2 linked regions of the Astyanax mexicanus genome follow. The protein of the gene in region 1 interacts with the protein of each later gene in a pairwise test. Links are inferred from orthologs where the notes say so. Each region holds a gene or a part of one and is shown on either strand. Other genes may lie near its edges. The genes, in order: fmr1 and nufip1.

The links.
Region 2: the proteins of fmr1 (region 1) and nufip1 interact in a two-hybrid assay, tested with the Homo sapiens proteins (2 studies listed by BioGRID). The link is inferred for Astyanax mexicanus from reciprocal best matches to the Homo sapiens genes FMR1 and NUFIP1.

What each region holds. Positions count from the first base shown.
Region 1 is NC_064417.1:21,671,332-21,683,096, forward strand, and holds the start of fmr1 (synaptic functional regulator FMR1), read left to right. Parts: upstream 1-6,378; 5' UTR 6,379-6,637; coding exon 6,638-6,688; intron 6,689-9,092; coding exon 9,093-9,145; intron 9,146-10,479; coding exon 10,480-10,573; intron 10,574-10,694; coding exon 10,695-10,766; intron 10,767-11,765.
Region 2 is NC_064412.1:55,615,309-55,627,370, forward strand, and holds nufip1 (nuclear fragile X mental retardation-interacting protein 1), read left to right. Parts: upstream 1-6,027; 5' UTR 6,028-6,173; coding exon 6,174-6,456; intron 6,457-7,152; coding exon 7,153-7,217; intron 7,218-7,351; coding exon 7,352-7,456; intron 7,457-7,691; coding exon 7,692-7,754; intron 7,755-8,202; coding exon 8,203-8,279; intron 8,280-8,399; coding exon 8,400-8,492; intron 8,493-8,979; coding exon 8,980-9,155; intron 9,156-9,250; coding exon 9,251-9,385; intron 9,386-10,031; coding exon 10,032-10,312; intron 10,313-10,875; coding exon 10,876-11,628; 3' UTR 11,629-11,670; downstream 11,671-12,062. Other genes in the region: dTDP-D-glucose 4,6-dehydratase, read left to right, coding at 824-897, 1,183-1,249, 1,367-1,435, 2,157-2,247, 2,372-2,514, 2,870-2,968, 3,063-3,122, 3,206-3,249 and 4 more. UniProt on the Homo sapiens protein: Binds RNA.

The sequences.
Region 1 (11,765 bases):
ACATTAAGTTATGTGAATTCAATTGTTCTTTTCAATTCCAATTGCCATGACAATTTTAGGATATTGAAGTTCCTTTGTTTTAAATAAAAATAACTTAAAATAACAAATTGTCTTAACTTCCTGTGAGTTATTCAAATTTTCCCACGTTTATTCAACTTACGTTTTTAAGTTATTGGTTAAAAAAAGGAAAGTAGGAAGATTTGAAAATGCAGAGAGGTAGAGTGATAGGCAGCAAGTTAGAACAGACTGGAGTACTTTTTACAACTTTAAAACCGGGGGGACATTGGGCTAAACACTTTTTAACCAACGCATAGCAATTAATAATAACAAGGAGCAAAAAAACTAAAGGGGATTACTTTCAGCTGCGGAGGGACACGCCTCTCTCCGGACTCCTTGAGGGCGGCGTGAGTCACCAACACTCTAAAAAGTAATTCTGTGTTTTAGTAAGGAGAACTAATATTATTAAGTTGAGTGAACTCACCGGCCAGTACAACTCAATTGTTTTCAACCGTAAAACTTAAAAATGTTTGTTGAGCGAATAAAAAAATGTGATTTCAACCAAATGTTAGCTCTTTCTACAGTGTTGGTTCATGCAGCTTTCCTATAGGCTCCTGGTACCATATATCTGCATATTGGGTGTGGCCTCTCCCTTACTTACCATCTTTGTGTTGTCTGTTGCCCAAAGCTACCTTGTCCTGGGCGTGCAGTATTATAATATATGTATTGATTGGCAGGCCTCAGTGTTGTAGGCTGTAAGAGCATATTAAATTAATTCTGTGTTCTTAGTGATCACAGTATGCTGGCTTTGAGCTACAGAGTGACTCTTTACCAAGTTTACTCTTATACTGCCCTAGCGTTATACTGTCAGTATTGGCAGTTAAATAATAATATATTAAATATGTTGAGAATACCCATGGTTAACTTAAAATGATAAGTTATGTGAATATTACTTAAGTTTTATTAACTTGAAAGTGTGTTAAAATAAAGATGATTTTTTAGTTTATTTGATTAAACAGATCATTTTTTAAAAAGGACCAATTAAACACTTAAGTTGTTTTAACTAAGTGCATCAAGTTGAAACAATAAGTAATGAGTATTTGAACAACTTGTTTAACTTAACATCTTGAGTTGATACAAAGGTTTTTATCAAGTTGAGCTTTTTAAGGCAGCAGGGGAACTTATGTTGCTGAGTTTAACCAACTTGAAATGTTTTACAGTGTAGAGGAATTGAGCGTTTGAGAGAGGGAGAGAGCTTGCAAGTGTTTGTGTATGTGTGTGAGAGAGAGAGAGAGAGAAAGAAAGAGAGAGAGCAAAAAAGCAAGTCAAAGAGATAGCAAGTGAGAGAGTATGAGAAAGAGAAATGAAGAGAAAGACCATGCATGTGAGAGAAAGACAGAGGGAGGGGGAGACAGCATGTGAGAAAAAGAGAGAGAGAGAATGTGTGTGTGTGTGTGTGTGTGTGTGCTGGGAACGTTATGAGAGAAACGTTTTAATAACGTTGTAATGCAAACTATTATTACATCACTCGTTTTGAGACATTCCTGAAACATTACTTCTGTAAGGTTGCAGGCTAACTTTACAGGAACCTGCTAAACATTCTTCCAACAGGTGTTACCCTACCTAACAGACTTAAACAAAGTGGTTAGCCATTACATTTATGCAAATAAGATGCAAATTTGAAATTTGACAACTATGCGCAAAATTGCTGATTTGCATTACATATCCAAACTACAGTAATGTACTCCAATTCTTGAACAGAACTGAACACAATGGTGTGGATCCTCATGGATCACTTATGTGCCTCTTATTGACTGTCTGCAACATTCACTTCCACCCAGATCTCAGTTCAGCTCCAGATTCTCTAATAATCTCCACAAAGTGACTTTACACCTCATTACACAATGATGGAATCGCCCATATTCCCCCCACAGTCCTGCTACTGTAGGCCATACCAGCACATCTGATTTAGAGATACACTGTAAACAAGGACACAAACAAGTCCTTATCCTTATCTCAATCACACTGCCCTTTACTACCGCCATTAGCCTGTGTGACGTTCACAGTGAGACAAAACACAACAGAGGAAATCTACATTCCTAAAGAAAATATATCCATTTAAACAGAACATCATCACTGCACACACATCATTTTACCAGCTTATATACAGTACCATGATTTTCTCACTTATTTTCTTACTTATGGCACCAATCTGAGTGTGTGTTCTAATCGAATAGCAAATGATTGATTCGGGTTAGAGTTTTTAACATAACAGGATTCCTATTAAAGGCTAAGGAGGTTGGGTCTAAACCCCATCATCTTCAGGAGTTTCTACACCTGACCGGCAGCATCACCACCTTGTACGGGAACTGTACTGCTCTTGAGCGAAAGAATCCCTGCAGAGGGTAGTGCGTACAGCTCAGTACATCACTGGGGTTCAGCTATCAAACCTTCTGGATTTATACACCAACCACCACCTGAGGAAATCTAGAATGATCATGAAGGACCCCTCCCATCCAAGCCACTCCCTGTTCTCACAGCTGCCAAGTAGAAGGAGGCTCAGAATCTTGAAGACCAGAACCAGTCGGTTCTGAAATAGCTTCTTCCCCCAGGTGACCAGGCTGCTGAACAGCCAGTAGAACAGTGTTCTGCCCAACCCACACCACTGCCATCACATACAAACTCACTGCACCCTGCATTTTACTTCACACTGCACCTATCCTTTCTGCACATTGTACTTCCCACACAACTCACTCGGTACCTGCACTTTACTCATAGTTACTAATACTAGTTACACCTGAATTATCTCCACACTTCCGCACACATACTTACAGTAAGCAATAATACATAAAAGGGCATTGTATTATTGCATAATACATAATACATAATATTGGCACTGCTGTGCTGCGGTCGTGCACAGCAGTGCTAATATTACACGTTATAGCACGAACCTTTAGTGTTTTATTGCGTTTATACCACAGATCCATTATCACTGTTTATTGAAAGATTGAAAATTAACAAGAACGAAAAAAATATATATGATCTGTTTGGTTTTAAAACTCTGAATGTGAATTAAAAGAGATCCATTGCTGCTCTGTTTGTAGCTGCGCTGATTGGCATGTAAGCACTGCATCACTGCTAGGTTACGTGTATGTGGCGGAGTAATACATGGAGAGCATTACCGGCTGATAACGGCACTCACAGAACGCCTCTCAGCCAATCACATTGCAGAGTCGAAACTAACTGTGGTATAATCTAGATTATTTGCACATGTATATGGCATTGTAATAACTATATATTCAGTTATATTTTACATTACATCTACAGTGCAAGTTATTTTGTACTGCATATTACATTAATTGTATATTTTCTATTTTATTTACTTATTCCACTCTATGTTGTAAATATTGTGCACCCAAGTTTTTCACTCACCTGTACCACTCTGATGTTACAATAAATCTGATTTGATTTAATAGTTGATGTAACTATTATAAGGTCTTGTTTTCCTTACCTGAAATAAACTCCTTTTACATTGACTTCAATTGAAAGTTAAGAAGGCTTTATCTGTCTCCTGTGAAACTGCACATTTGAAGACAAATGTTTTTCATTGGACAGTGATGGTGTGCACTATGCCACTTGGTAAATACATGTTTTTTTTTTTTAATAACTACAAGCCTATACCAAGCTAACAGAAAACTTACTGAAAATGTTTTGCATTATTTTTAAAAAGGTTCCAGGAAGGTTAGCTTTTAACATTACAGGCATAATGTTCCAGAAACGTTCTAAAAACATGTGAAATTATAATGGTTTGCATTAAAATGATATTAGAATGTTTCTCACATAATGTTCCCATCTAAATGAATACTAACATTATAAAAACATTAAAAGCAACATTCTCAAAACTTAACATCGATTAAAACAAGTGATGTTGCAGTAACCATACCATAATGTTTAAAATGTTAAATAAAAAATATATATATAAGAATAATAAGAATTCTAATAATATCTAGAAAACTTGACAGATTGAACTTTCTAAGAATGTTAACTGTAACATTCAGGAAACATTCTAATGACAAAAATAGATAGCTTGGAATCAGTCTTTACTTTAAAGCAGGAAATTAAAGGTAATTAGGACTATAGGTCATTTTAGATTAAGATGAGACCTTAAAGTATAACCCTATATTCAAATATTCAAAACACACCTTAAATTCAGTGCTTTTATCATTATTTGAAAAATTTCTGCATTGTAGATAATACTGTTAATACTAAATTCATCCTAACTATAAAGAAAAACATGGAATTATTTAGCAAACAAAAAGTATTAAACAAATCAGAATATGTTTTATCTGTTAGATTCTTCAAACAGTTTTCAAACCTCTTGCTGAGACGGTACTTTGCACATATTAAAATGTCCTGGAAGGACCTGGAATGGCTTTCAGTTAACAGCTGTGCTGAACTCATCCAGAATTAACTACTTAAAGAATGTCTTGCCTCTAAATGTGTTTGGGAGCATCAGTTGTAAAGTTGTTAAGAGGTAAATCGGTATACAGTGAATAGTTCTATTTGAGTAATGTTCTAATCCATTACTCCAATTGCAAGAATTACTAAATTAAGTAAAGATAAAATGACTTTAAGAAATAAAGGTCAGTCAATCCGAAAAATCTGAAGAAGTTTGAAAGTATCCTAAAGTGCAGTCACACGTCAAAAACATTATGATGAAACTGGCTCTCATCAGGACTGCCCCAGAAAACAAAGTAAGACCAAGAGTTTTCTCTGTTGCATGGGATAAATTCATCAGAGTTACCAGCCTTAAAAAACAGACAAGAGCCACCTAAATGCTTCACAGAGTATTTTGGTGTCTGTTTAGTACTTTTAAAGCTGATGTGCTTAAGTTTTTGGCCCTCTCTGGTGAGAATGGGTAATTGCAGCAAGCATGCGGAAGAATCAATGTAAACTGGGCAGGTGTGATGCAGTCTACTTTAAGAGCGGATGAATCCGATTCTAGGTTATGATACATATACATATATCAAGAACTAACAGAGTGAAAAAAAATGTAATTGTTGATAAGGACAAAAGTTGAGTCTCTGATAAATCACAGTATTGATATACACATTATTTGTAACTTAATACGTAATATGTGTTGTATGTAAACTCTACCAGAAGCACGATAAATAATCTTAGAAAGAATCTAGTAACGTTAATCTAGCAATCTTTTAAATAGTGATCCCCAGCCTTTGCAAAATTTTAGTCTGTGACTTGTCTTTAGATGTGAGAGGGTGTCAGACTAAAATCATCTAATGCAGGGGTGTCCAAACTACGGCCCGCGGGGTATTTTAGAAATAGAATGAAAGTTAGCCCGCTGTTAACCAGGTTTTTATAACGCTAGGTGTTTTAGCGCAGAAAAACGGGCCAAAGAGTATAAAAGCGGAGAGAGTGCGCATTTCTAGCGCAAAAAAACAGCCAAAGAGTCTAAAAGCGGCGAGAGTGAAGTTATAGCAGGAAAACGGGACAAGGAGTCTAAAAGCAGAGAGGGTGCATGTTTCTAGCTCAGAAAAACGGGCCAAAGAGTCTAAAAGCGGAGCGGGTGCGCGTTTCTAGCGCACAAAAACGGGCCAAAGAGTATAAAAGCGGAGAGAGTGCGCAGTTTTAGCACAGAAAAACGGGCCAAAGAGTATAAAAGCGGAGAGTGCGCAGTTTTAGCGCAGAAAAACGGGCCAAAGAGTCTAAAAGCGATGAGGTTGTGCAGTTTTAGCGCAGAAAATCCAGCCAAAGAGTCTAAAAGCGGAGAGGGTGCTCATTTCTAGTGCAAAAAAACGGGCCAAAGAGTCTAAAAGCAGAGAGAGTGCTTATTTCTAGTGCAGAAAAACGGACCAAAGAGTCTAAAAGCGACGAGGTTGTGCAGTTTTAGCGCAGAAAAACGGGGCAAAGAGTCTATAAGCGGAGAGAGTGAGCAGTTTTAGCGCAGAAAAAGGGCAAATGAGTGTAAAATTTGTTTAATTTTTTTTAATATTAAGAGACATCATGAAATTAAACATCAATTTGAAAAATCTTAGTTTACACAACACTGTCAAAGATAGATAAAGATAGTAAGTCAAGTAAAATGGTGTGTAAATGAAATAATCAGGAAAAAAAAGTGGTATATTTCATTATTTGTTTTAATACAGAGTCTGTGGCCCGTCACTTCAAATATACTTCTCCTTCTGGCCCCCATCAAAAAAAGTTTGGACACCCCTGATCTAATGTTAGTGTATGGACAGCATTAGTTAGGGTTTGATGAGGGGAGCGTGCTCGCGCTAACTGACTGACTGACTGAGTGAGGGACTGACGTAGTGCGCAGCTCCGGGTCACGTGAGTGTGTGTGGAGGTGCGGGAGGGAGGAGGGAGCTGTGTCTCCGTGTTTACATCGGAGCGGAGCGGCGACGAGCAGCAACAGCAGCCTCAGCAGCCTGAGCCTCGGCCTGGGGCTCCATGCACTGTTCCCCCTGCTCTCCAGCCTAACGCGACAGAAGCACCGAGCGCGCCGCCCTGCAGCAGAGGAGAAGCGGGAGGAGGCGCGACCACACGGCGGCGGCTGCAGCAGCCACAGACACCCAGAGCAGCAGCTACTGTTACACTGCGGGCAGCAGCAGCTAGCAGCGCCATGGACGAGCTGGCGGTGGAGGTCCGGGGGGCGAGCGGGGCTTTCTATAAGGTGAGTCTCCTGCGTTCCGTCCCCTCTATCTCTCTGCTTCCGAGTTTAGCTCCGTCTCCGGGACCCAGCGCGCCTCGCTGGGGGTCTGCGGGGCTCCGTGCGCGGCTGGAGCCGTCCAGGCTCGGTAGCTAGGCCCGGCCCGCCGGGGCAGTCTGTCTGTATGTAAGCTGTGTGAGAGTGCGTGTGTTTGCGGTACATTAAGCTCGGTTCAGCCGCTCATAACGCTGTATACCGGGGTCTGGTCTGCACTAGCTTTCAGTTAAACGCTGTTTTAAGCCTGTAATTCAGAGCCGGGCGCTACATTTGATTCACATTAAGCCTAAAATGGCTGGACGGCTGGTTTTAGGCCACTAGCTGCCATTGCTCGTAATGCTGGGAGCTGCAGGGGATGGTGGTTAGCTGGCTGTGCTACACACTGTGTGATTCTGGGACTCAGACTTCATAGTTAGCTGGTTTATCTGCTTCTGTTCATTATTAGGACTTTCAGTTTCAGTTAGGATTCTGTTTATCTGAATTGTAAAGACTGTTCACATCATTACAGCTAACTACATTTGCTATGCTGGTGTTTGAAGCCTATGTGTGGCATGTCCTGAGCGGCCAGCAGTCAGCACTGTGTCACCTGTTCATTTCTGTACAAGTTTGTGGCATTAGATCAGTGCTGATCCTGTTTGTCTGGCTGGCCACTGCTATTTTATATGTGCTAATATTACTTATTACTTCTGCTTATCTGTGCATACAGCATGGTAGTGTAAGAGAACTGGAGGCAAATGTTGTATTGTAAATGTGTACTTTTTTCTATATTCTCATCTGTATATGTCGCTGTACAATGAAAAACACGTATCTCCCTTTTTGTTTTTTTTAGTTTTCGACATAATTTAAACAAAAAAACAGTTCCTTTACAATTTATCAAAAATTCTTTGTGAACGGACCTCCAGAATTTCTTTGAAATGACCTCAAATGAACTCTTTTTACATTGACTTCCATTGAAAGTTAGGAAGGTTTTATCTTTCTCCTGTATAGTTGTTGTTTTGGAGATGCATGTTTTTCATTGGACAGTGAAAATATACTTTTATGTTTTCTATATTTAACACAATTATACAACATTTGATGCTGCATTTGACCTGTTCCATTTATGGTTCCGTATGTGCACGCTGTTCATTCAGTTTCTTTATTCATATCTTCAATCATTTGCACTTCTGCTGGTTAGATGTTAACTTCATTGAGCTTTTTTGGCTAGTACTTTTTTCAATGACAATGAAATTAAATTTAATCTTAATTGTGTTTAATGTATTAGATATAGTAGATGTTTTGTAGTTATATAGCAAGCTAAGTAAAGCAGCTCCAAAAAGAGGGGATACAGGAGAAGGATTTACTTAGTCAAATACTGATGCACTGAGTATTTGGCAACCAACATTATTGGGCTGAAAATGTAAAAAAAAAAAAAAAAAAGCACTTTTGGTGTTAGGCCAAATGAATAGGAAAGACTGAATTTGATTTGATCAGATTGTAACCAGCATGGAGTAATGTGCTGTAATGAGATAATTAAAAATGTTTTGCTCAACACAATTACAGGTCATAATAATATACTAATATAATTCTGTTATTTTAAAGTAAGATCTAAGAGACAGAAACCATTTGTAAGAATTCTCAGTTTCCCCATATTTCTGCTGGCTTTACTGCTTAGCTGTCGTCTAATGTTACACATAATTTACTAATGGAATACAATGTAATACTAATTAAAGCATAGGTCATTCAATTGTGTGGTGCTCTTTGTAAATGTGGCAAAGATGAAAAAAGTGCAAAATGATGAATACTGGGCAAAACGTGTTCCTTTTCATTTTGTGTGCTTTCTATAGATCACCTATTTTAGGTGGTTATATTGTTGTCACTTGTATGTGCTACACTACTCAGAATCTATTCAAATGCTGCAACCCAGTGCAAGCTTTAGAGTACATCTAAACCTGCATTTTGCATGCAGGCAATTTAAAAGTAGGGATGCCCTGATGTGTGAATTCTATATACACATTTATAAATTAGTCTAGCCTAGACACTTCAGTATAACTTCAGAAACAAAAACCTTGTATCTCAGATTTTGTCATATCAATATAATTGTTTGTACTCAAAATGAATTGTTCAAAAGGAATGAGCGGTCCAAAACATGACAAATGAACCAATAAAATGCTCAAAATTGAAATAAAATCTTTTTACATTGACTTTTAAAAAATAATGTATTTTTTCTTCTTCTCCTTCTGTTAATTCTGCCATCTTCATTAACATTGCAGTTCTCTAAAATCACTTCATTTCATGAATTTCAAGACTGGAATTTACATTATGTGTATATAACTGTTTGCTTATATTGAAAGTAGTTTCAGTGTAGAAACTGACTGAATGTTTCTCCTTGCAGGCCTTAATAAAGGATGTGCATGAAAACACAGTCACTGTGGCTTTTGAGAACAAGTGAGTATCCACTTATTTTGTGATGATATAAGTGATAATTTATTTTCATAGTAGGAAAAGTGGTTGCTGTGTATTTTGCTGTGCTGTTTGCTGAGTGGAGCTCAGTGGCACCTGAGGGTCTGTAGAAACACTGAGCAGTATTGATAAAATCAGTCTCATCAGTACCAGATGATATTTGAGTCAGTATGGTAAACTTAATGGACTCATTCTAAGTAAATGTGTTTTTTCTGTGCAAAAAGAACACAGGAACTTGTATTTGGTATTTGACTAAAGAATGTAACTATTCTGCTTCTTTAAAAATAAGCATTGTTATCTTAACCAAAGTCTCAGAATGTAAATCATACTGTATCATTATTTCATGGACATTATTATGCACTTTATAATGCACAGTATTTTGGGGGAAAATGCCATAGCAGTATAATTTTGACTTTGATATACAGCTCTGGGAAAAAAGAGGCCATTTCAGTTTCTGAATCGGTTTCTCTCATTTTGCTATTTATAGGTATATGTTTGAGTAAAATAAACATTGCTGTTTTATTCTATAAACTACAGACAACATTTCCCCCAAATTCCAAATAAAAATATTTTCATTTAGAGCATTTATTTGCAGAAAATGAGAAATGGCAAAAATAAAAAAAAAGATGCAGAGCTTTCAGATTTCAAATAATGCAAAGAAAACAACTTCATATTCATAAAGTTTTAATAGTTCAGAAATGAATATTTGGTGGAATAATCTTGGATTTTAATCACAGTTTTTATGCATCTTGTCATGTTCTCCTCCTCCTCCACCAGTCTTACACACTGCTTTTGGATAACTTTATGCCACTCCTAGTACAAAAATTCAAGCAGTTCAGCCTGGTTTAATGGCTTGTGATCATCCGTTCTCCTTTTTGATTACATTCCAGAGTTTTTCAATTTAGTAAAATCAAAGAAACTCATAATTTAAGTGGCCTCTTATTTTTTTTTCCAGAGCTGTATATGGCAATATTAAAATAACAGGAGTTTTCACCAGAAATCAATATTCCAATATGTCATGACATGAAATGTTTGTTAAAAAAAAAAAAAAAAAAAAATATATATATATATATATATATATATATATATATTGTTGTTGTATATGTGGTATTTTGTTTTTGAGCTATTGCACGTGCACATGATTACGGTGCTAAAACTGTTTCTTTTGCAACCCCTATGCAGATGATATACTGTATATCACCCATCTATTTAGGCCTAGTCTGCAGGCTTTAATAAAAAAAAATACAAATTAACCTGATTCTAATCTTTTCTAATAAAACCTTTCTGAATATTAATTCTTCTTTCTTTTTGCATCTTAGCTGGCAACCAGAACGACAGATTCCGTTCCACGATGTTCGCTTTCCTCCCCCTGTTGGGGTTCAGAAGGAGATCAGTGAAAGCGATGATGTTGAGGTGCGTACAGTCACAACATGTTCACACCACAGATACACATGTAACCAGCAAGAGCCTGGCAGAGCCTGTGTTGTCTACATAAACTGACTCAGATCTGTTGGTTTTCCTGAATGATCTGTAGGTGTACTCCAGGGCCAATGACAAGGAGCCATGTGGGTGGTGGGCAGCCAAAGTGCGCATGGTGAAAGGAGAGGTGAGCAATAGTAGGATGATTGAGTTGGATGTGTGGGGGGAGAAACGGCTGCTTTGAGCTATAAGCACTCTACCATCACTGTGCCTGCTTTAACAGAGCTTTGCTAAAGTGAGGCACCTTCAAAATAACAACTAGGAGTAGGAGGTTTCCTACATTAATCTGTTTTGCGTTTTGCGTTCAGAGTGACTAGCCATTTCCTGCGTCATGAGCTGACTGTGTCTAAATCTGATCTTGGATGGAGAACTTTTACATATTCATCTACATTAATACCATAATCATTTCTGATGAGCTGAAATGTATACCTTTGTATGCCATCAGTATTGGATACAACTCTAAATTCTTTATAATGGCAGATTCACAGAATAGTTTTTCAATGGAAGTTTCAATAGGTTAAGTTTGTGTAAAAAAAAAAATTATTTATCATTTAAATATCAGAAGCCTACTTCAAAAAGATAAAATGGACCACTTGAAAACTTTTAAGAGCTCAGGCTGATCCCGATATTTTAAATTACTTTATCTTTTTCATATTTTTTAATCATTTTTAATTTGTTTTATTTCATTTCATTCATTTATTTATTACTTTTTATTTACTTTTTATTCAAATGTTTTTTATTCTTATTTTCTTAGTTCATTATTATTAATTTGATCGTTTCTTATCATTCTTTTCATTTTACTTTTACTATTATTATCTTTTTTATTTATTTTAGATTTTATAAATTATTTACTTTTTATGTGTCAATTTGTTTGTCTTTTTTAGATTTTTTTACATATGTATTTTGTTCAGCTTTATTAAATGTTGATTTTAAATTAGTATTTATTTTATTTATTATTTTATACTATTTTGTTTCTTATTATTTGTAATTTCTTATAAAATGTTTTCTTTCCCGTTTATATTGTAAATGCTCGGCAACATTGTAAATGATGGTCACCCTCAACGTATTCTCAAGTGAAAATAACGGTTGATTGATTCATTTTAGAGCATTTCTATTAGGCAATTCA
Region 2 (12,062 bases), on another chromosome or scaffold:
TTGTGTTGACATATTTTATTGTTGTCTGTTTGTTTTCAATGATTGTTTTGTGTATTAGTTAATTTATGATTAATTCTGTTACATTTAATAGTGTAAATGTGTCATTGCTGTATCATAACTTAACAATGTCTTACAATTTTGTAAATTTAAAGTTTTCAAATAAAAATAAATAAATAAATGTTATTGTTAGGCAGTAAAGGCACTGGCTAGCATTGCTGCTAATGTGTGCTGACTTTCTGGTGAGCTGTTCCCTCCTGTCCCACCCCTAAACCCATACATCACCCAGTGCCCCTCCCAACTACTCTTTCCTTTTTTTTGCCTTTTTAGCCAGTCAGCTAAAATCAGGGGGTTTAGTTACTCTTTAATTGCTCCACATGAAGAACCCGGAACACACACTGCAGTGGGAATTCTCCTCTCTGAAGTTTCTGTGGTAACGCATGCAGCTGGTATGATACGTGTCAGCACTGCCGCAAAGCGTTCCACAGTGTCGCAAAGTGTTTGGGTATTTTGTTATGTGAGCAGTTAGTTAGTGTTAGCGGCTGTTTAATCATGATTCTGCTTTAACAGTTTAATTTAAACGTTAATCATGTAAAAAATGACGAGTATTATACAGGTAATTATGCTTACTTGTGCTGTGGCATTAATATCTCAGCGTTTTACAGGGTTTGAAGCTAGATAACTGGCGTTCCATCTTAACTAAGTTAGCTTAGAGAGCTGTCATAGATTATTTGTCATGCTGGGGCTAAATAATGCAGAAAAATAGCTCTTAATTAATAAAAATGTGAATATTTGCAAGAGTTTTCCCTCAAATTAATAAGCAGCAATGTCAGAGAGAGAGGAGAAGCTGGAGCTGGACTGTAGGAAGACTGTTCTTGTGACTGGAGGAGCTGGATTCATGTAAGTGCTGATTTAATTCATTTATTCATTAATTTATTTATTAATGGAATTAAATATTTAACCACATTTTTTTACATTACTTGATTGTTTTGCTTTCTCGAAATTGCAAAAAGTAAATCCTCCTAAATCCTAGTGCTCTTTCTCTGCTTCACACAGACTGTAGGTTATAGTACTGTATAGGAGAATTATCTATTAATCAGTTAACCTATATCTTAACTCTGGACCCTCGTGTTCACTCACCTGTACACCTATGTTAATATTTGATATGATTTTTTGATCTATTAGAGGGTCGCACCTCATCATCCTCCTGGCTGCAAGATATCCACTGTGGAGGATAATAAATATTGACTCAGTAAGTCTATTTAATTGTTAATTATACTGTCTGTGTGTAATTGAGTGTAAGTAATGTGTATAATTTGTGTGTATATTGTAATAATGTGTATAATATAATGTATATAATCTGTTTTAGTTGCAGTACTGCTCAAGCCTGAAGAACCTCGAATGTCTTAAGAACACAAGTACATACAAATTCATTCAGGTAAGATTTAATGTGAGAACTGTTATATAATATTCCTTCTTCACTCTGAGACAAAATCATAAACAGTAGTTTATATATCAATAATAAAAAAAATATATACCAACCAAAATAAATAAATGTGTCTTTTTTTGTGTTTTTCTTTTTCATCATGGCAATTTTGGGGCCCTCATGATATGCGTGTTTTTCTGTCTTTATTTAAGATACCACAATCAGATAATCAAGTCTCAATACTGCGTAATTCACATTTGTGATTTTGTGATGTATAATTTTCCCCAGACAATATTTGCTCAGTGAATATCAAAAGCAATATTTCTGTAATTAGGGTGTGCAATTTCATTTCAAGCACAATATTTCATGACACAGTAATATTGAGATTGATAATGAAAGTATTTTGTATTTTTATTGTTTACTTTAAAGCTTTAATGATATTTTGTGTTGTTTATATTCATTATTTATCTTGTTACATTATTATTATAATTTTATACAAAATCTGTACAAAGTCTTGGTAACGTACTGTTGTTGACAGAATAGACAAAGGTTTAATTATTATGATTATTATAAAAAAAATATTATGATATTATTTATTGGCCATATTGTCCAACTCCATTTTATACTTATCGTTACTGAGAGGGTTGAGTTTTTAAGTAAGCAGTGATTATAAAATATTATAATATTTCCTTTTTTCCTAATGCTGATTCATTTTGCCTCTCTTTCTTCACAGGGAGACATATGTGACCAATACTTCATTAATCATCTGTTTTCTACTGAGAATATCGACATTGTGTTTCACTGTGCTGCTCAGTCTCATGTTGGTGAGTAATTATTGATTTAGATATGAATCCTTCTGGTTGTTATAGGTAATATATCAGTGATGTTCAGTGAATCAGGCGAATGTTGTTCAGATTACTCTCCTCTCTTTTTTCTTTTCTATCTCAGATAACTCTTTCCTGTATCCGTCTCAGTTCATGCACGTGAACGCTGAAGGTACACATGTAGTGCTCAGAGCAGCGTTTGAAGCTGGAGTGGAAAGGTTTATATACGTGAGCACTGATGAGGTTTATGGAGACAGTCTGGACAAGGTCAGTGTCATTTTAGATGTTTAACCTTTTAGGTGTAGTTATACAAATCCCCTTTTACTCTGCAGTACAATTTATTCCTGTTAAGGCTCTCATAAAGAACACCTGGACACCCTGTTCACTCTCTACAGTTGATAACTCTCTGAGTTATCAACTGTAAATTCTGCAAGCTTTAAAATAGACATAAAAACTAGAGAACCATAAAAAAACAAAAGGTTTGGAGAACATTACATTTTTGATTTGTACTCAGGATAATATTGATTTTAAAATTATTTTTAAAAGTTTAGGAAATTATTTCAATGTTTTTTTTAATAATTTCTGTTACAATTAGAATTTATCAAACATGTAATGTTCACAGGAATTTGATGAGTTGAGTCCAAAAAAGCCAACCAATCCATATTCAGCATCAAAAGCTGTTGCTGAAAACATTGTGTTATCATACTGGGAAAAGCACAAGGTAATAAAATTATGATTTTGAATTATTGGTGATTTATTGTTTCCTTTTATTTTCAATTTGATAATATTCCTCATTTTGTAATTTTGCATTTTAGTTTCCCATTTTAATAACCAGGAGCAGTAATGTGTACGGACCAAGACAGTATCATGAAAAGGTATGCAGGTAGTTCTATCATTCTTCCACACCACCATTTTATTAAGTGGTGATATAAACGTTTTTTCCCTGCTTATTCTTCAGGTTATTCCAAAATTTTTGTTACTTCTACAACAGGACCAAAAGTGGTAAGCATATTTAGCTTTTAACAAACTTTACACCATTTATGTTGCGTTTTTTGTTTGTAATCAAATCCTGTTCTCTCTTTATAGCACTATTCAGGGAACAGGCCTTCAGTCCCGTCACTTTCTTCACGTTGATGATGTCACGGATGCTCTTCTCATCCTGATGGAACAAGGCGTCCTGGGAGAGATTTACAACATCGGTGCCAACTTTGAGATTCCCATCATCCACCTGGCTAGAGAGCTTGTACAGTTGGTAGGTTCCATTGTCAGCTTTTATTTTTGAAACATGTAAAATATATCATATAATGTACTGCAGAAACTTAAACAAAAATGCAATATTGGAGTAACAAGATAGGACCAGAAAATCACTATGCTAAAGAAATGGATACACCATCAAGGATTCCAGGAGTACAAATTTATTTATATTTAAATTTATATTGGTAGCATAAAAATATTTAAAAGTTTGAAACTAAAGTAGACCGTCATGTAAATTCATAGAAAATAGAGAAATATATAGGTTTTAGTCACAGATTAAATGTTATTCATCTCATTTAAAATGTCTATGTCTTTGGAGTGATTTTTATTTATTTATTTATTTAATTTTATTTATTTATTTAATTTTTTTTGAAGGTGAAGAATGCATCTACTGATGATCTGGATAACTGGCTGCTGTTTGTTGAGGACAGGTGTGTAAAAGAAAAGCTCTGGTAACCTACAGGTTTGGGCACTCCTTGACAAAATATATGATTTTTTAATTCATTATTATTGTTGTTTATTTATTCTAATTTATTCTAAAGCTCCATTTCCTGTAAGTAATACAAACTGTGGAGCAGTTGTATTGCACCACAATAAAATACAACAAAGTACTGCAGTTACACATTTTCACCAAACACTTAAGAACTGTTACTTTAAACAATGGTAAACCTTTTTTTAACAAAGGGTTTACATTCAGCAAATAAAGAGTAACTGTATTAAAATATACAGACATAGATTTTTTTAAAGAATAAAGAATTTCATGTAATTTTACCAGGTGTGCTCAAACTGCTGCATAACACTATATGTGGTATTTAAGTTTCTCTCTTTTTATATTATAATAACTTTTGCTTTTATAAGGTTGTTTTTCATATTATAGACCTGTCAGTGACTTAAGATACCCAATGATCTCAGACAAGATGCACAAACTTGGTTGGAAGCCTAAGGTTCCATGGAAGGAGGGAATCAGAAGGACAAGTAAGAAGCCTGAAAATTCTCATTACCTTTTTATTGATTTGATCTGAGAATGGGTAACAGGGCTTGTGCCTTGTTCTATTAGTTAACATAGGGGAGGGGGGGGGGTTCTAATATGTTCTAATGTATAATTTGTGTCTCCTGTCTTCCAGTTAAGTGGTATGAAGAGAATGCAGGCTACTGGCCAGTGGTCACAGAAAAGAAGCATCAAGGAGCTCCACTGACTGTGACCCATCACTCACTTCACAGTGAAACGGCAAAAAACACTTTCTCAAAAAGCTTTTTATCCACCAAGTTGTAGTTAAAATTGATTGAACATTTTGTACGTACTAAAGACTTATTTTACATTCAGACATTGTGTTTTTTTTAACTGGACAACAGCTGTGTTACAAATGACATCCACCATAAAAACAGCATAAATGGACAAAGTTTTACATAACATCAGTCATCTTTATATCAACTTTTGTTTTTTATAATATATATATGAAATGTTCATTTGTGAAACACACTGTAAGAAATCTAATTATCTGGGAACAGTAATGGACTGTTATCTGCTTCATATTTGAAGTGAGAGGAAATATAAGAAGATATAAATTCTGAGATTCAGCCAAATACCTCAATATTGTGTATTGAAACAATGCCATAAATCATGACATTCTATAGTTAGTAAATGGGAAGTCCTTGACTGAGTCTGAGTCATCCATGTCCAAGAGTGTTAAACAAACTGTTGTGAATTTACCAAAGACTAATAAAACCATAAATAAATACAATGTGCTCTCATTGTATGTTATCTCTGCTCACTGTTAGTCTGATGTGTACATGGCTGTTCATTAAATGTCTCTTTTTTAATCAAATCATTTACAATGACCTAAAGCCCAGCAATCCCTAAATTCTTGCATTGTTGCTACAATGTTGTACAATGCATGAAAACTTATTTCTTGTACAAAAAAAAAATAATAATGGGTTTTTCACATACAATTTTCTATTTTTGCTTTTAGCCTTGAACAGTCAGAAAATTAAACTAATAAAGGTTACACTGACAGTAAAACTTTTTATTTTTTTTATTTTAACCATTTTGTGTAGTACAGAAGAAATGGGTTTTCATATTTTTGTATGGGTTTTCATAATTTGTATTTCTGCATCTCACAATTAGAATTTCAGGAAAGTTTAAAAAAAAATGAATCTTATCTTAATTTTCTGATTTTTTCACCTTGTAACAAAAGTTATTGCAAAAATGGGAAAACTAAAAAAAAATAGAAAATTGAGAGATTTTTTTTTTTTTCAATTCTATTAGCAAAAAGCAGAAATGAAAAACTCGGAAAAACAAGTCAGTTTATTTCTCACCAAAGTAAATGGAAAAAAATAATAATGAAGTTTTATACCCAATGTTCTATTTTTGCATTTAGCTTCAAAAGGTTAGAAATTAAATTAATAAATGTTACACTGACCGTATTTTCGTACATGCGCATGCGCACTTTCCCCATATATACAGCATGTGCTCAGTTTTTAGCGCTACAGCGCCCTCTGCTGTTCGGAGCGGCTGTTGTGTATAATTTTACCCGGAAGTGACGCCGGGTTTGAGTAGCACGTGTGTAGGAAAGCGTGAAGAGGCAGAGCCATGTGAGAGTTCTGGTGAGTTTATACAGGAGTTTAGAGAGTTTTGAGAGGTTTATTTATTTGTGTAAAAGGTGACAGTGGTCATGTCGGAGTCTGGGAGTTACCCGCCCCCGGATTTCAGCTCTCCAGCTCAGGGAGCTCTCCTCAGACCACCGACCTTCCACTGGAGCCCCCAACAACAACCAGCAGCACCAGCATCAGGAGCAGCTCCAGACAAGTTCCAGGCTTCCAGAGACTGGAGCTGGAGCCCGACTGCTCCTCCAGCAGCTCCCGCAGCAGCAGATCCCTGGACCCCCTACCCCACTGCTCCCTACAGCGGGTACCAACATCCGTACTATCAGAACTACGGGCAGCATCGATATCCAGGTGAGAGACCATGAAAAACACAACAACACACAGGCCTGATATAATATAGCTATCTACAGTACAGTACAGTACAGTACAGTGGATGGTATGGTGCAGTGGATAACACCACTATCTGCCAGTGAGCTACCATATCATGCTGGAGATTGGGGTTTAATTCCTGTTCTGGGTGACTATACTGTGATACACCCATAAAAGCACTTGAGCTAGACTCCTAACATTACATTAGTCCACCTCTGTAATAAAAGAGCATATGGCATAAGTGGCTTTTTGTGAATACATAGGGTCATCACTAGCAGTGGTACAATATTATATATTATATAATATTGCAGTATATTGCATTGTTTCATTAGTATTGTATCAATACATGGCATCAAATATCTTTTATTAAAACATATAGACTCCCTTGTTGCCCTGTGGTTCACACTCCTAGTCATCAATGAATTTAATTGGCTGTAGAAACTTCAGGAAACAGCATATTTTCAAGTAACTATGTTTTAGATCATTATTACAGTACATTTTAAATAACAAAATATTTTTAATCAAAATCCAAGATGCTTAAAAATGATCATATCCTTTCCCTAACTTTAAACTTTAAACAAGCTTTTTATGTGTGTATGTGTTACCAGCTAATGTTTTATCAGCTCAGTCGGTGTGTGGCCTTTCAGACCTTTAACAGTTCTGTTAAAATCTTTACAGGTCCGCATCATAATAATAATCGATATGGACGGCAAGGCCACGGCCAAAACCAGTGGGGTAAAAAGGTAAGAAATCTTTTTCCTGTACATCTGATCATGTAAAATCATGTTTCTGTGTCATTTCTCTATCTATTTGTGAGCATGCTGTGAATAAATAACAAGTACAAGCTAGTAAACACACTGTGTTTTATTTATTTCAGCAGAAAAAGCAGAAAGAACCAGAGTTCAGTCACTTCTGTGACACTTGTGATCGAGGCTTTAAAAACAAAACCAAGTATGATGAGCACATTGCCCAGCATGTGAAGGTAAGGTAAATAGTTTGAATATTCTTAGTAATTCAAAGTAAATAGTAAAGTAAATTTATTTTGCTATTATCTATAGCACTGGCATTTCCATTGTGGCATTGTGACAGGCCTACATATTCTCTGTAAATTACATTTACATGAACTGCCCATTTTTATTTTTTCCAATTTCAAGAATAGATTGTTTTTTTTAAAGTAGAACCACAAAATGTGATGTATTATTATGTTCTGTTTTCAGTGCTCAGTTGAGGATTGCACATTTACTGCGCATGAGAAGCTCGTCCAAATCCATTGGAGAAATGTAAGTGCTCTTATTCAGTCTTGTTTGTACCTACAGATATAATTACAAATGAAAACTGCAATAAATAAAGAGGGTTCATTATAGCGGCACGGGTGGCACAAAAGGCATTTTCTCACCTGAATATCCAGACTAATGTCTGAGAATAATGACCCACCACCCAAATAGTAAAATTATTATTATTATTATTATTATTATTATTAATAGCTGCTCAGTGTTTTTTTTCTCTGCTGTGGGTTTCTCAGTATTAAAAAACAGGGTGAAAGCAGGAGAATAATAAAGTATAGAGGGAAACAGATACAGAACTACAGTCTGTAATTATAGAACTATGAAGTCTATGCTTGAAAGACTTTGAACAAGGAGAAACTAGGAGATGGTGTTAATGTTTTGGCTGAATTGGCAGAGTTTATGTGATTTAAATACCCTGTCATTGTTGTGTGTTGTATTTCAGAACCATGCTCCTGGAGCAAAGCGAATCAAATTGGACACTGCAGAGGAGATTGCAAAATGGAGAGAGGAAAGGAGAAAGTATGATCATTCCCTCCCTTTTTTCCGAAATTACTCTTACTACTTTTATTTAATTGTGGAGGTAAATGTTGTCAACCTGCAGTAATGATTCACCACACCGTAATATGTCCTACCTTACAGAAACTACCCAACCCTGAGCAACGTGGAGAGGAAAATTAAGGCCATGGAGGTTAAAGCACAAAGGGGAGATGTGCTGGAGACTGCCCAGTTTGGGTAATTACCTGTCAATTAACTATGTGGTATTTACACTCACATGCCAAAAGTCATGGGATAACAGTTCCGTATTTTCCGGACTATAAGGCGCATTTAAAATCCTTTTATTTTCCCAAATATCATCAGTGTAGCTTATAATCTGGTGCACCTTAGTTATAATATTCTACCTGTCAGGTAGAGGCAGCCTGTGAATACCTAAAGCTGTATAAGTTGTGAGGTGTTATCTTGTAAGTGAAGTAGAACACTGGGGTCACGAGGGTCACATGCAAACTGGGAGTGCAATGCTCATTAACTTGTGTGGAACATGGGGAAAGTCTTGGGGTATGGTACTCTTAGTTTCTGTCCTATGACGTCTTGGCATGGCAGTGTACTTTGGGAATGACGCTAGTAAATACCATTAGGCAGATGGAGCCACATGGCAGTTTTCGCGTTAGCTGATAAAAAGTGACCTGCTTATAACTATACATGTTTTTATTTATCGCTTCAGTAATTTTAAAAGTCGTGGTGGACACGTCCAGAATCAGAGCCGAGGTGCATATAGTGGCCAGCAACATGTACAACCAGCAAATGCGCAGCAGCAGCAGCAGCAGCAGCAGCCACCAGCTCCTGTACGTCCTCACCCAGATGGAGATCCTCTTGGAGTTCTGGCCAACAGTGACCCAGGTTAGCTCTCGAGACACTTCTTCCCAAAAGCATCATCCTTAGTCATTCTAAAATGACTTGTTCTTTTGGTGTCCTTTTTTCTTTTCTTTTTTTAGATTCTGAAAAAGAAGAACCTGTGAAGGAGACGAAAGCATCCATTTCTGTGGCGCCCAAAAATATGACTTCTGCTCTGGGATCACTGATGTCCAGCTATGGAGGAGACATGACCGAGAGCGAGGAAGAATCAGATAGTGAGTGAGCGATTAATGCCATTTCTAACATGTTAAAATTTTAGTGAGCACACCATTTGAAGCAAGGGTATTAATGTATAAAATAAAATAAAAAACCCTAACCTGTGTGTGGGAAGTGAGTCTCTCTCAGTGTGTGAACAAAATACCAGCACAATGCTGCTGCAGTGCTCACTGAACAGTGTATGCCCTTAGCTGTAGTCCCATTACTTTAGTCAGCAATACAAATGTTGATAAGCTCAGGTTGCAGTACAGTAGTTTCTGAAAGGCTGGTACTGAGAGAAAAGACATGACTTGAATCTGAGAGAGCAAATAGAGAGATGATGTCACCCTCTCTCTAACTAAATGTCGACTCTGTTTGCCTAACCGGTGTGGTTTCATTTTCTTTGAAGCTTATTCTATTATAGTTTTATATTAGTGGTTAATAGTGAATCAAGGACTGCACAAAAAAACATTATGGCATCAGTTTGCTTAAAATTTGTAGATTATCGTTGTTTCTTTTTTCTATATTGCATGTGTTCCTACAGTAACTTTCCTTTTTTCCTAGTAACTGATCTTTTTCTCCACTAATGTTCATTTTTCCCTATGTTTTTGTATTGGTTTGATAGATTTCTGTGTTGGTTGATGTTATTTTTTTTCTCAATTTTAGATTCCCCTCTCTTGAAAACAGCTCAGGCTTTGGAGGAGAACAAGGCCTTGCTGGCAGGTCTTTCTGTTCCTGCTCAGTACAGTGCACAGAGTCTTAACAAGGAACCACCAATCAGGCAATCTGAGACTGACCACCAAGCACCTTATCCTGTCTCAGACCAGAGAAACAGGTGGTGTGGCAGAGGCAAAAGGGGGCGTGGCCGTGGTCGTGGTAGGGGTGGAAGAGGTGGTAATAACCCCACCAGTGTTCCACAGAACCGTCGCCACACCCTTTTAGAGATGGTAAGGATAATCGACAAGCTAATATATATATAATGTATGTTTTAGTCTTAATTGATTTTATCAACAGGGTTCATACAGTCATGAAAAAACTTGGAAAAGTCATGGAATTTGAAAAATAAATAAATTAATAAAAATTACCAGGCCTGGATACGTTTTGAAAAAATAAAAAACTCTGTTCTGTTTATCAACGAAGAACATCTATTTTGAGCGAACAAATATGTCAGCTCAGAGTTAATTCAGTAATTTAGCCCTTTACAATGGAGCTCTCAAAATCTGACACACATTTTATTATTGAAGATTGTGTTGATTTTAGACCTACTATAATCAGTTTTCATTATAGTTTTAGTTGGATTTTGGTCTGCTCTGATGGTTTAAAAAATGTAATGATGGTCATGAAACTTTGCCATTAAGGCATGGAAAATCATGAAAACAATCATGAAAATGTATTGGTTAAAAAGAGTATGGACCCTGTATCAAGATGCTCTATTTGGTATGATCATAATTTGAACTGTTAAGTTTTATTGTTAATGTTATATATAATCTTTTTTTATTATTTCTTGCAGTTGTTGGCTTCCGACATTCGCCATGAAAGAAACGTTGTGCTTCAGTGCATTCGCTTTATTGTGCGTAAAGGATTCTTCGGACTCGCTTCTGATAACTGTAACCCAATGATGTCTGAAACTGCAGCAGTAAGTACGAATGGACTGATGACTGATAAAGAGGACTGTGGAAGTGGTGTAACAGAGGGAAGTGTCACTGAAACACAGCGTTCGCTTGTGGTGAATGGTTGTCAGGCAAGTCAGACACAGGAAAAGAAACTTTCCTTTGAGTCACCGGATAACCAGAGACATTACACAGAAGATCTAAAGCTCTGCAGTAGGGCGGACTCCAGTAGAGTTATTCGAAGCCTATCAGAAACCCATCAGCCAAAGGGACTTCCAGTTTTAAATGTGAATAGCTCACTAGCTGATAAATGTTCCAGCAAGCTACCACAGGATGAAGATCAATCCAGCAAGCCCACAGACATAGTAGATCTGTATGAGCACTGCCATACATCACAAAATGCACCACAGCAGGAGGATTTAAAGGTTTCAATGAGCTCGAGTTCTAATGAACACACATCCCAGCAGTCTATTCAAGAAAATATTACACTCCAAGGACTTAAGAACGAGTGTAATGTTTCATTGGCTGAAGAGGCAGCTGAGCACGATGAGGCAAAAATGCCTAAAGATGAAGAGAAGCATGTTCGCCCCATCATATCAATATACGATGATGATATCTGGGAGCTCCCAGGGGTCACCAGTGATGCCATATAAATGACTTTGCAAAATAATTTGTAATAAACTGTTTGAGTTTGAGGTTTTGTTTGACATTTTTCCACAGACATTGATGAGTTTGATTTCTGTGTAACATTAAAAAGTCTTTGTTTCTGATTTAATTAAACATTGTAAAACTACAAAAAGTTTTCAAACTTTGTTTGTTTCAGTGTAATGTAAAAGAGGGGAATGGGTGGTAACCCCTGTTTTTGGGTGCAGGATTCACTTTGCATCCTTCTGTTTTTCATGTATTTTTTGCGGCATAGTAAACAGAATCTGTAGCCAGTTAAACTTTTTTTAAAATATCAGATCTTTTTTCTAATAAAATGTAATTCCTGATTTCAAGAAAAAAAACAGCCTTCCACATACATGTGGATGTGTTTAAAATATGATATTGGATACAGTAAGTAATTAATTGTATTGAAAAATGCGTT